2 linked regions of the Drosophila melanogaster genome follow. The gene in region 1 interacts genetically with each later gene. Each region holds a gene or a part of one and is shown on either strand. Other genes may lie near its edges. The genes, in order: Sms and GstE1.

Region 1 (7,854 bases):
GAGATTGTGCGGCGCTATCTCGCAGCCCGACTCCTGCAGCTGCCGCAGCGTGGCATGGTGCATTCCACTGTGCAGTTTCCGCTCCATTTTGTTCGCTTAGCTCCCGGTGAAAATTAAAACCAACGTAACAACAAGTGAAATTAACGTTCAACTGCCCGCGGGCATATTTAGTGCGTGCTCTATTGCACGGTTGTCCAACACTGTCATGAAAAGATTAGGGTGGCTCACGATAAAATAAAATAATTAAATTTAAAAACTTATATAAATAATTAAGATAAAATTTTATTTATATTAAGAATTTCATAGCGATAAATCCCTTAATTAATTTTTTATCCATATTGATTAAGGATAGGTCAACACTGCGTATGCGTAGTATTACTTGAATATTGCTATTGAATTTGTAATTTATTGAATTCCAGGATTTATTATTAAAATACCCGGTAAAATAAAAGAAAACCACACTGTTTATTTCTGCGTACGACTATTTATTTAACTTTATTAGTTCTCCCGTTTAAAATGTTTGGTATTAATCGTTATTACAGCAATAAAAGTTGGTGTTCCTGCTACGCTTCCTCACACCCACATACACACATCCTCGATCCTTGGGCCTTCCCCGCTCCACTTTGCTTGTTAATGGATAACTAAACATATGGTCTACATTATATAGATGTACACGTTATACGAAATATTACAAATAGTTGGCCAACATGCTATGCTTAGGCGTAATTCAAATAAACACGAATACATAAGTTATTATTTTAGCCTGTCCTTGCTTAAAGGTTGTACTTTTGTCTTAGTTTTTAGCATTGAAATCAGTGAACGAGAAACGGAACTAAAGCCTAACTTAAGCGTAAACGAATTGGGTTCAGTATTTGGTTTGGTTTTCAATTGTAAGTAACAGCCATTGGAAGTGCGTGTTTTCCTCTGTCTTGGGTTTTGTTGCGATGGTTTCGATGATGGCGATTAGCTTGTGCATCGGATTCCGTGTTTCCTGGACTAAGAAACCAGCGTGTGATGGTAGTGTACACGCTTCTTCTTTCGACGCCTTGGTCGCGGTTTCAATTGACCCACGGCTCCATTATTCATATTTTCCTCCTCCTGAACTCCGACTGCTGCTCCATGGATAGTGACAGTGTAGGAGTGCAGCTGGAGCATCTCTCCGACGGTTCCCGGTTCCTGACTTATGCTGTGTGATGCTGGTGTGTGACTGGCGGTTGGTGGTGCGCTAGAAGTAGCTACTGCTGCTGCTGAGGAGTCCACCTGAGCTTGTCAGGCGAAAGTCACTTGGTAGAAGAGCCACTCTTCCATGAACGACGGCACAAACGCCTTGGTGGTGGTGAACTTCACCTTGGGACGCAGCAAATTCAACTGCTCCTCGAATAGACGCAGCTGCACCTTGCAGGTGGACCCATTGCCATGAGTCAAATACTTTCCGTCGGGTTTCAGCACCTTGAAGGAGTGCTCGAAGATGGTACGAATGAAATCCCAGGTCTCGCCCTCCGGGGCATCGGTTATGGGTATGTCCGTAAGATCCCCAAAAACGTAGTCGAACTTGCGGCCCTCGGCGATGAACTTCTTCAAGTACTCCACACAGTCGCCCACAATGATCTCGTACTGATCGCCCTTGCGTTTCTCCAGCACATCGCCGCAGATCACGTTGAGGTATTTGTTGCAGGTTTGCATCACAAGCTCATCGATCTCCAGCATCACCACATGCTTCGGATTCTCCTTGAGTAGCTCGTACAACAAGGCGCCATCACCGCCGCCCAGGATGCAGATCTCCTTGCCCTCGTAGTTCTCCACGCCGCGACACATCAGGGTCTCCGTGTAAATCAAATCGGATTCAGCAATGTCTGTACGTGGAAAATGGGAAATTAGACATCTATATTTAAAAAAGAATCAAAAGAAGTTGCTATTACCCTTTTCATAACCGACAGCTTAAAAAGTTTTTAATCTAGTCGAGAATTCATGTTTTCAAATTCAGCTTTCTTATTCTTCTTTTAAGCAATAAGAATATTTCATTATATTTAGTTAACAAGCAACTAGGTGTTCGTGATATGGAATAATTGTCAGGTAACATAGCATTAGCATCCAGAAAATGCCCGTGATATGGAATATTTACTTTTGTGCATTATGTTTATGTGCAGTTTATATTTATTTATGATGACCTTTTCTTAAAGGCAATTGCACGTGACCTTTACTGCGGCACTTCCACTAATCGATTGGTGACCCTGACACCGTTGGCGCATCAATGTGTGAATGTGCCACTTATTGCATTCAGATGCCTATACTAGGTATGGTTTACTTACTCTGCAGCTCGTCGAGGAGCAGCATGTTGCCCAGGGTCTTGGAGTGCATGATTTGAATCTTCTGGAAGGGCGAGCGCGCCTCGAAGACCACCTTGTCGATGTCGTACTCGATGATGCGCTCATCTGCGGAAGATGTGCCATGGATTAGTGATGCCTTATTAGTGACCGTATTAAGTGCGATATTGATTATTACTAGTACTGATTTCGGCTCAATTGTTAGGCGTCGCATGCAGAGAAACAAGTTTAAGACCAACGAAATGCACTCTTACGGAAAGTAAACGAGATATAGATAGAGAGAAAATCAGAAGTAAATGACTGAAATGATCTATCATGCTGGGTGCCACTAGAAGAACTCTGATACAATCAGCTCGATGGTGCTGCATACGCTCAATGGTCATACGGTCATACGATCACACACAATTCGGATGACATACAGTAGCGGTAGTACGAGTAGTATTTGCTCTATTTGCAATATGTTTAACCAAACGGATTGGGTTTGCCTTACCTGACGATGGGAAGTACCTGGAGACATCGCCGCGCTTCAGCGTCGGCAGCTTCTGGGCCTTGATGGCCTTCAGTTTGATTGCCAGGACATTCTCCAGGCTCTTACCGCTCTGCGGATGTCCGTTCGATTTTACATAGTAGTATATTGTTTTTTTTTTTTATAAACCGTGTTGTATTGATATTTTCGTGTTGTTGTAGTCGATTGTCAATTGTTGAGGAACCAATTTATGAGCGAGCGTACGACGTGGAGCGAATACGAGTACGAGATCGATTTCGAGGCGGGGCAGGTGACACATGTGCGTTGGGGCGTAAGTATAATTCAATAGTTTACACATTTATTCACAAGTTCGTGGCAATTTTGGTGTGTAATTTGGTCCAGGAGATGGTGGCAGCGGTTGTTCATGATGATCGATGGATCGGTTGAGTGTCGATGGAATAGATATGAAAATAAAACGTAATTTAAATTAAATAATAATCTTAGAACAGTGGGTATGCTAAATTGCAGTGATGCCAAGGAGCTGATATAAAATCAGCGTGGATACATAAAGGTATAAAGAGATTAAACCCACAGTACAATAATATGAGCAACTTGGCACCACTACTGCAAAGGTAGAAGGCTTCTTCCAAAGATTAGACAAACTAGCATGCAGGAGTGGCCTGGAAAAGTAATCCCCTAGAAGGTAACACGCTAGGCTAACATGATCGGTGGCTTTGGAGATGTGCAGAGCTTGGGAGGCGGTTCAAATTCTGGGCTGGAAATGACAACTCGGTGAATTTACATCAGCTGCGATACGGTGTCCAATTTATGTGATAGTCATGAGGGTTTTTTTTCTAATTTTATTTATTTTCTTTGCGGTGGCGGCAATCGGAAATACTAGTGGAAAAACTGCACAGGTGTTCTAGATTCTGCAGTGGAATTTTGAAAGAGAATTTCGGCATAAATTGTAGGTAATTGTATGTGAAGTGAGTTTGAGTAGATAAGTTATATATATTCATTGCAAATGAAACTAGCAGGAACTAAACTGGATTTTTTTTGATTGTACATATATGTAGGTTGCATTAAGTTCGACCAACCTGAGCTAGTCATATATATGTCGATATATCCGCCGCGTTTAATCGGCGGCAAGTACTTGGACCGATCGGAATCAAATTTCTGCCGCAAAATCAGTTCCATGGTGCGCATGGTCTGCAATGGTAATTCCATTATTGAGGTCCTTCTTGCAAGGGGGCGTCGGATGTACAAATGTGCATGTTGGCTCGATGGGGGCTGGGGTACTCAGTATGAATAAATTATATTAATGGAAGGTGACCTTCATCCGCCAGGCGCGGAAAACTCTTCGAACGACCCACCCCACTCACACCAAACGGCGACACACAGGCAGCCCGGCCCAAGAAAAATACTATTTTTAGTCCAAATACTTGATACTTATGAAAAAGGAAAGTGAACAGAACGAAACGAAAAAGGGAATATATACCTATATCTAGATATAGCTAGTAGCCATGCAAGTATGTGCATTCTGGCGACACATTTGTTTAGTTGCATGTGCAGCAGGCATATGTTATTGCAAAATCACAGAAATCACAATAGAAGGCTTAGCCACATGCGGCTTGCGAAATCCACAGGCCAACAGCAAACAGTCGTAAGCAGAAAAAATATTGACGGCTAGATAAGAAAAGTTCCGCACTCGCGAATAAAACAGCTGCGATCGGCAAGATATAGCATTTCAAATGATACGAGGAAATAATAATGGGTCTGATAATATTAGTTACTCCTATAGAAAAGTTGGTTTAGGTTGATTTCTTTGTTCGATTACTTGATTAAATTATTTATAAAGTACAAAGGTTTGTTGAGATTATATCCTAACTAACTCCATCATTGTATAAAAATATAATTTTATAAAAATTTTACTTGGGATTTTGTTAAAGCTATAGTTATAGAACAAAACAATTTTAGACTTTTTGACATAATTTAATTTTTTTGATGCTATTTAGCTTACCGTAGCTGTAGGCATATGTACATGGGACATTTTCTCTAGCATTTTAGATGTACTTAAACAAATGATGGAAGAAATTGAAATATTCTATCAAATTTTATATTCTTTGTTGTTTTACAAACAAATACTGGTTGTCATTTTGAAAACCCTCAGATTTGTGGTATCAACAGTCATTTTGTTGACTTAGGTTTGTTTATATGTGCATGCGTAAGTAGAGTAAACTGGTATAAGAAAGTTTAAGTATCAAATGAAATAATGCGTGCCTAAGGGTGTAACCTGAAATCTGGTTTCTGTAATAAGGGCCGCATATTCCGGGTGTTTTTCTTCTTATTAGTATGGGTACCATGCCCCAAAGGGGCGCCAATCAATAGATCGCGAGTCGAACCCAACCCACGTGCTCCGGCCAAATGTGAAAAGCATAGAAACGGGACCGGAACGACAAGTTAACCTAGCAAAGCCCAGCTGAAATCGCTATGTATGTGATGTGTGCTTCAGAGGTGTTAGATAATAGAAACTGGTGAAAGTGCTGGGATGGGGGCAGCCATCACTTGAGGCCAAGGACGGACGAACTGACCCTGACCAAGTGCCGGCCATTTGAGCTCGCCGAGTGGTCAGGAACACACTCACACACACAACCAATCAACCCACCCACATGGTTGCCCACTTGCCATGCACACACCCCCACATGTATGTATGATGAAGCAACAACACTCGGGTACAAGTGCGCGGAAAATCAATTTTACCCGGTGGGTGGAAAACCCTTTCCCCAACTAATCAGCCGAGACACGGAAACTGGGAGGGTAAGAAAGATGTGGGTGGTGGTGCTGCTGTCGGGTGTTTGCTTGCTTGTTTTTTGAGTTTTTTAAAGGAATCTAAATTGCACTGAATACGTACGTCGAAGGATATGCTCGGCTCCTTGCCATCGGGCAGGAAGTACTCCACGTTGAGCGTCAGCAGGCCGTGCTGGAAGATGCGGCAGGTAATCACCGTGTCCTTGTTCTCGTGCAGCACCGCAAAGTAGCCGTTTTCCGGCGACTCCATCGAGTAGGCCAGCTCCAGCTGGGGGAACAGCTGCTCCAGCTCGTTACGCAGGATTTTGGCCACCTGGAGGCGCGCCTCCTCATCCGCCGTCTTGTCCTTGTCCAGCGTGAAATCAAACAGTATCGTCTGGGCCGCCATCGTGCTTAACTTGCGCTAATCCGTTGAACAAAAACGCTGAACCGCGTACCGACCGAAACGAAATACTAGTGATGCGCCTTACGAGCACCGATAGCAAGTCGATTTCGATTGCACTTCTAGTGTGGCTGTATAATACAGTTAATTAAACCTTATTATTTTTTTTAATATAAGAAACGGTTTATTAAATAATTGTAAAAAATAATAAAGTACATTTAATAATAATGTTATAAATTCCTCTTAATAAATTTTTGAAGGGTACTTGGCCCACAATTTTGTATTGAATATATAGCGCTTTGTTATGTATGTTTACCTAATAAATATTACATTGGTACGTTTTGCTGGAAACACAATTAAATACAAATCTTAATTAATATTTAAGAAATATTTCTTTAAATCTATCGTGTCACAACCCAGCCACTGAAACACCCCCGCCCGCACCTATCGATACGTGCTCCCACTTATCGGCAGTTGGCTGCCCACTTTTGCCACCCCTAAATCGCAGTTCCCACGACAAGTTCCGCACTTGCTCGGAGTTTTTGGGTGTAAACAACATTGGAACGCGGTAAATCATACAAAAATTACATAAATCGCATAGGTGACAGCAGCGTGGAAGGGTAGTGCGTACCAGTGCGGAACATGAAAAGCACACCAAGAGCGAAATCAATGCGCACCTGAACCTGAACTTGAATATCGCATGTGTGCTATGTGCTATTGTTGCTGCTTTTATGCTAGACGTAGGCCAACAACACAAGAACAACAAGGCTGCGCTGACGGGAACAATGGTCTGCTAATTATAAATCTCTCGATCCCAGAGAATCGAATCAGCCAGCAGACGACGGATATTGTGCTTGTGTTCAGACGTTCAGATGCTGAGTGCTCAGTGCTTGGATGCGTGGGCGCCGCAGCATGCCAATGTTGTTACGTCGTCGCCAAAGACCACCCTTCCGCGACCAACCACCCCCCAAATCGCCCACAATCCTCCCCATTTTATATATCGCGACGGTGTCGCCACAGTTATTACCCAGCATATTGATTTTCTGAATCCTTTCAGCTCTCTCGCCCCAAAGGATCTGCCCACATATGTGTTTTTTTTATTTAGTTGCTTGCAGGTTAGTAAGTGTATTATACCCTTGGTATTACCAACCCGCCTAAATGTTTACCTTCATTAAAATCTTACAGAACAGCACACGCAATCGCCGCCAGTCAGCCCAATTAGCCTGATTTCGTGTACGTCATCGCCGAGCCCAAAATAATTTGCATTGCGACCAGCCAGAACGCCGGACCAAAGTCGCATTTGCATTGTGCTCGCTCGATGACGTCTGGCTTTACTATTTATATGGCCGGCAGCCAGAGGCCATCGCACAATGAGCTCGGTTCGAGAGATCCGGCAGATAGAGCGAATTAACTTGACAAAAGGGGGGCATGATAACCACTTAGCACCTTCACCTTAGATGATAGAATCATTTCGTTCGGACTAAAGCCAACATGCAGCACAGCAGCGCGGGAAGTGAGGAACGGATAACCAGTTCCACCAGCAGTCCCAGATCCGGTCACAAGACCGCGAGCTCCCTGTTCGGTTTGCTGAGCAAGCGACCTAGTAAGGTGGAGCCACATCCCGTGACACCCGAATCGCCAAGATTACAACAGAGACCCGTGTCCGCCTGTGGCCAATACGATGTCAGTTTCGCCAAGTGCAATGCAGATACGTCTGCAAACCATGTCAATAACAATGGGAGCACCCTCAAAAGCCAAACGCTGCCGCTGGAGAAGTCGCACAGCGGGCTGATCAGCTTCCACAGGCGTGCAAAGCCAAGTTCCTCGAAAGGAAAGAATCACTCGCACCGGCACAGTACGGATGCTGGTTCCCA
Region 2 (3,594 bases), on another chromosome or scaffold:
CTTTTTGTGGACTTGGAGCAAGCGAAGGGCGGGGAGTTCGAGACCCGAGCGCAGATAAGAGGCAAATTTGGAAGTGGCATAAAACGGGGGCGAGTTGGGTTTGCTGCGGAGCTGGGCTGGCTAGCTGCTTGGGCGGATGGCGCCGTCATAAATTAATTATGATTTAACAACTTTAGCATGCACGACACGGCAGGAAAACTTTGCGCTTTTCATTTACCCCGCCCTCTTCTATTTTGTGTCGCTTTTGTGGAGGGTAAAATTTTATAATTTTAATGAGCGCAAAAAAGTTGTAAACTTTTGGCTGCGTTGCCATTGGAAATGCACTCCACGCTAGATAGTAATTTATATACAACATAAAAAAAATGTTCGCCATCAAGGACATTTACCGGCCAAGAGCACTTAGATGGCTACAAAGTCTTCAGTTAACTCAGAACAGTATATAGTGAGCCTATACACTGGGAAAAAAAGAAGATTATTCAAACATAATATACATTTTAAATCATTTTGCCAGCAGCGTAAGTTTTAATACATCATATTAAATACCATTTAACATACAATTTTACTTTGGGCAATGCTCTCTTTTCGATGCGACAATGGCTTCCGCATCACTGTTTTCCAGCTCCGCTCTTGATGTCCTCAAAGGCCTTTTGCCACAGCTTGTCAAACTGCTTGGGCAGCTTGGAGCGAATCTTATCGGCCAACAAGCGGGCTCCTCTCAAGTTGTCCTCCTCATAGAAGGGCAATGCGGAGATACGTGCCAACCAGGCGGATAATTTGGGGTATTTGGTCGCATCCACGGGACAGTAGCTCAGGTGCAGAGTGCTCACGGTGGCCACAATGCTAAAATCGGCGATGGTCAGCTGAGGACCGGCCACATAGGGATTCTCCGCCAGAAATTGCTCCAGCAAGGCGTAGGCATCCTTCAACTCAGCCAAACGATCCTTGGGCACCTCAGTGGCATTCTCTTTGAACAGAGCTCTCTGCAATTGCTTGAAGATGCCGTGAAAAAGGACACCGGTCTCGAAATGCAGCCGCTGATCCACCACAGCTCGCTTCAGCGGATCCTTTGGATAGAGCTCATCCGACTGGGCGTACTTGTTCACCAGATAGCCGATGATGGCGTGTGAGTCCCAAATGCATGACTCACCATCCTCCAGCATGGGTACCGTGTGCTGGGGATTCTTGCGTAACATATCCGGCTTCAGATGATCGCCGGCCTGCATGTCCAGCGTATGGAATTCATGGTCCAGCTGGAGGGCACGAAGGGTCAACAAAACGGCACGGACCGGCGGACTGGACTCAGTGCCATATAGAATCAGGTTAGCCATTGTGGTTGCTTAACTAATTGCCTTCTAGCTGGTTGAATTGAGATTCGTAGCAGACAGTGTGCCATCCACAACTGACTCAAGGCAGTCTAAATAATTTAAATTTCTTTCAAACGCGATAAGATTAGATATTAAACTTAGTTTCTTGATAATTACCACAAAGACGTCATAATGCTGCAAGTTTAAGTTTGCCTGATTGTTTATTAATGTCCGGGATAAGTCGGTCTGCTATCTATTAGCTGTGTCAATATTTGATCAATGTCCCCGTGATTTATTTGATCATAGTTGGAGCACCAAAGGGGCTACTTATATACACTGCTAGAAACGTCCAAACGAAACCTAAAGTAACCAGACTCATTAGCAGTGTTTCTATGCAAACATTTTCATATAAATATAATTATAAAATTATGAGTTTAATATTATTACTTCTGTGTATCAGATCATACAATTTTATCCAAAATAACGATAAGCTTTATGCCAGCTTAACTTAAGCTTTAAGCTTTTAGAAACTTTCAAGCTTCGTTAGGAAGACTTGAATTGTAAATTTACATGGGTTCTACATGATTCAAATAGATGTATATTACAATAAATCATAAAACAAGTAACTGTATTAAATTAATTTCTTCTGACAACCAATGTTCCTGAGTTCACAGAGACCTACTTTGTTTTTGATGAGTATATGTTTTTTGTAGTTCACCACTGCATATGGTGTTTTAAAATTAGTATCATATAGATGATTCCAGAACTATCAGTTGGGGGTAATTAATGTTTGTTATGATGAAATAGGCATACATATTATATATATGGTTTTTTTTTAACTGTTTAACACATGGTTTCGAGCTTTTATCTTAGATTTACGAAATGCTCTCTCATTTAGCAAAAAGCTTGAGGCAATAAGGTGTGTATATATGTACAGTAAATAGAGAGATCAGTCGAAAGAAAAACACTGACGGGTAAACAACACGTATCATGTCGAGCTCTGGAATTGTACTCTATGGGACAGATCTCAGTCCCTGTGTGAGGACCGTCAAACTTACCCTAAAGGTCCTGAATCTGGACTACGAGTACAAGGAGGTGAATCTTCAGGCGGGCGAGCACCTGAGCGAGGAATATGTGAAGAAGAATCCCCAACACACGGTACCGATGCTCGATGATAATGGCACTTTCATCTGGGACTCCCATGCCATTGCCGCCTACTTGGTGGACAAGTATGCCAAGTCGGATGAGCTGTATCCCAAGGATCTGGCCAAGCGTGCGATCGTCAATCAGCGTCTCTTCTTCGATGCCAGTGTAATCTATGCCAGTATAGCCAATGTCAGCCGCCCGTTTTGGATAAACGGTGTTACCGAAGTGCCCCAGGAAAAACTGGACGCCGTACACCAGGGTCTGAAGCTGCTGGAGACGTTCCTGGGCAACAGCCCCTACCTGGCCGGCGATTCGCTAACCCTAGCCGATCTGTCCACCGGACCCACTGTAAGCGCCGTGCCCGCTGCCGTGGACATAGATCCTGCTACATATCCCAAGGTCACCGCCTGGTTGGATCGCCTCAATAAGCTGCCCTACTACAAGGAGATCAACGAAGCTCCGGCCCAGAGCTACGTCGCCTTCCTGCGCAGCAAGTGGACCAAGCTGGGCGACAAGTGAAACTAAACTTATATTTAAATATGACATTTCACAAGTTTGAATTCCATCAATTAACAACATACACATCCATTTCTAAAACGTAAACTTCTTCAATAAAATATAACATATATATAAAATATTTAATTTATTTTTTTATTTAATTTATATTTATTTAAATATTTGAATTTATAATAAATACTGAAATTTATAAACTTTAATATGGGACTTGAGTCAGTAATTATTATCTCACAGTTGGGGAACCCGACCGTAATATTTTTATCGCTCATTTATGATATCGTCAGTGTACAATTACAAAAGTTTATTTAAGATACAAATGGGGCAAGCTCAGCGCACCCAATTGGGTTGTTTAGTTAAGCTCGTTTAGATTTCTGTGTGTGGCAAATTTAGTGGAACTTGGGTCTCTCTGGTGATCGCATCATGTCGGATAAATTGGTTTTGTATGGCATGGATATTAGTCCTCCTGTTCGCGCTTGCAAGCTGACCTTGCGGGCCTTAAACTTGGACTACGAATACAAGGAAATGGATCTACTGGCAGGAGATCACTTTAAGGATGCGTTCCTCAAAAAGAACCCGCAGCACACCGTACCACTCCTCGAAGATAATGGTGCCCTTATCTGGGATTCAC

What was found.
Region 2: of Sms (region 1) and GstE1, changing one suppresses a phenotype caused by changing the other (phenotypic suppression), as found in Drosophila melanogaster (one study listed by BioGRID).

What each region holds. Positions count from the first base shown.
Region 1 is NT_037436.4:12,271,189-12,279,042, forward strand, and holds Sms (spermine synthase), read right to left. Parts: upstream 6,064-7,854; 5' UTR 5,987-6,063; coding exon 5,702-5,986; intron 4,000-5,701; coding exon 3,888-3,999; intron 2,924-3,887; coding exon of another isoform or gene 2,815-2,923; intron 2,433-2,814; coding exon 2,310-2,432; intron 1,854-2,309; coding exon 1,270-1,853; coding exon of another isoform or gene 997-1,269; 3' UTR 468-996; downstream 1-467. Other genes in the region: Pbgs (porphobilinogen synthase), read right to left, coding at 1-87; INPP5E (inositol polyphosphate 5-phosphatase E), read left to right, coding at 7,472-7,854.
Region 2 is NT_033778.4:18,396,138-18,399,731, forward strand, and holds GstE1 (glutathione S transferase E1), read left to right. Parts: upstream 1-2,255; 5' UTR 2,256-2,294; coding exon 2,295-2,969; 3' UTR 2,970-3,086; downstream 3,087-3,594. Other genes in the region: GstE10 (glutathione S transferase E10), read right to left, coding at 606-1,328; GstE2 (glutathione S transferase E2), read left to right, coding at 3,387-3,594.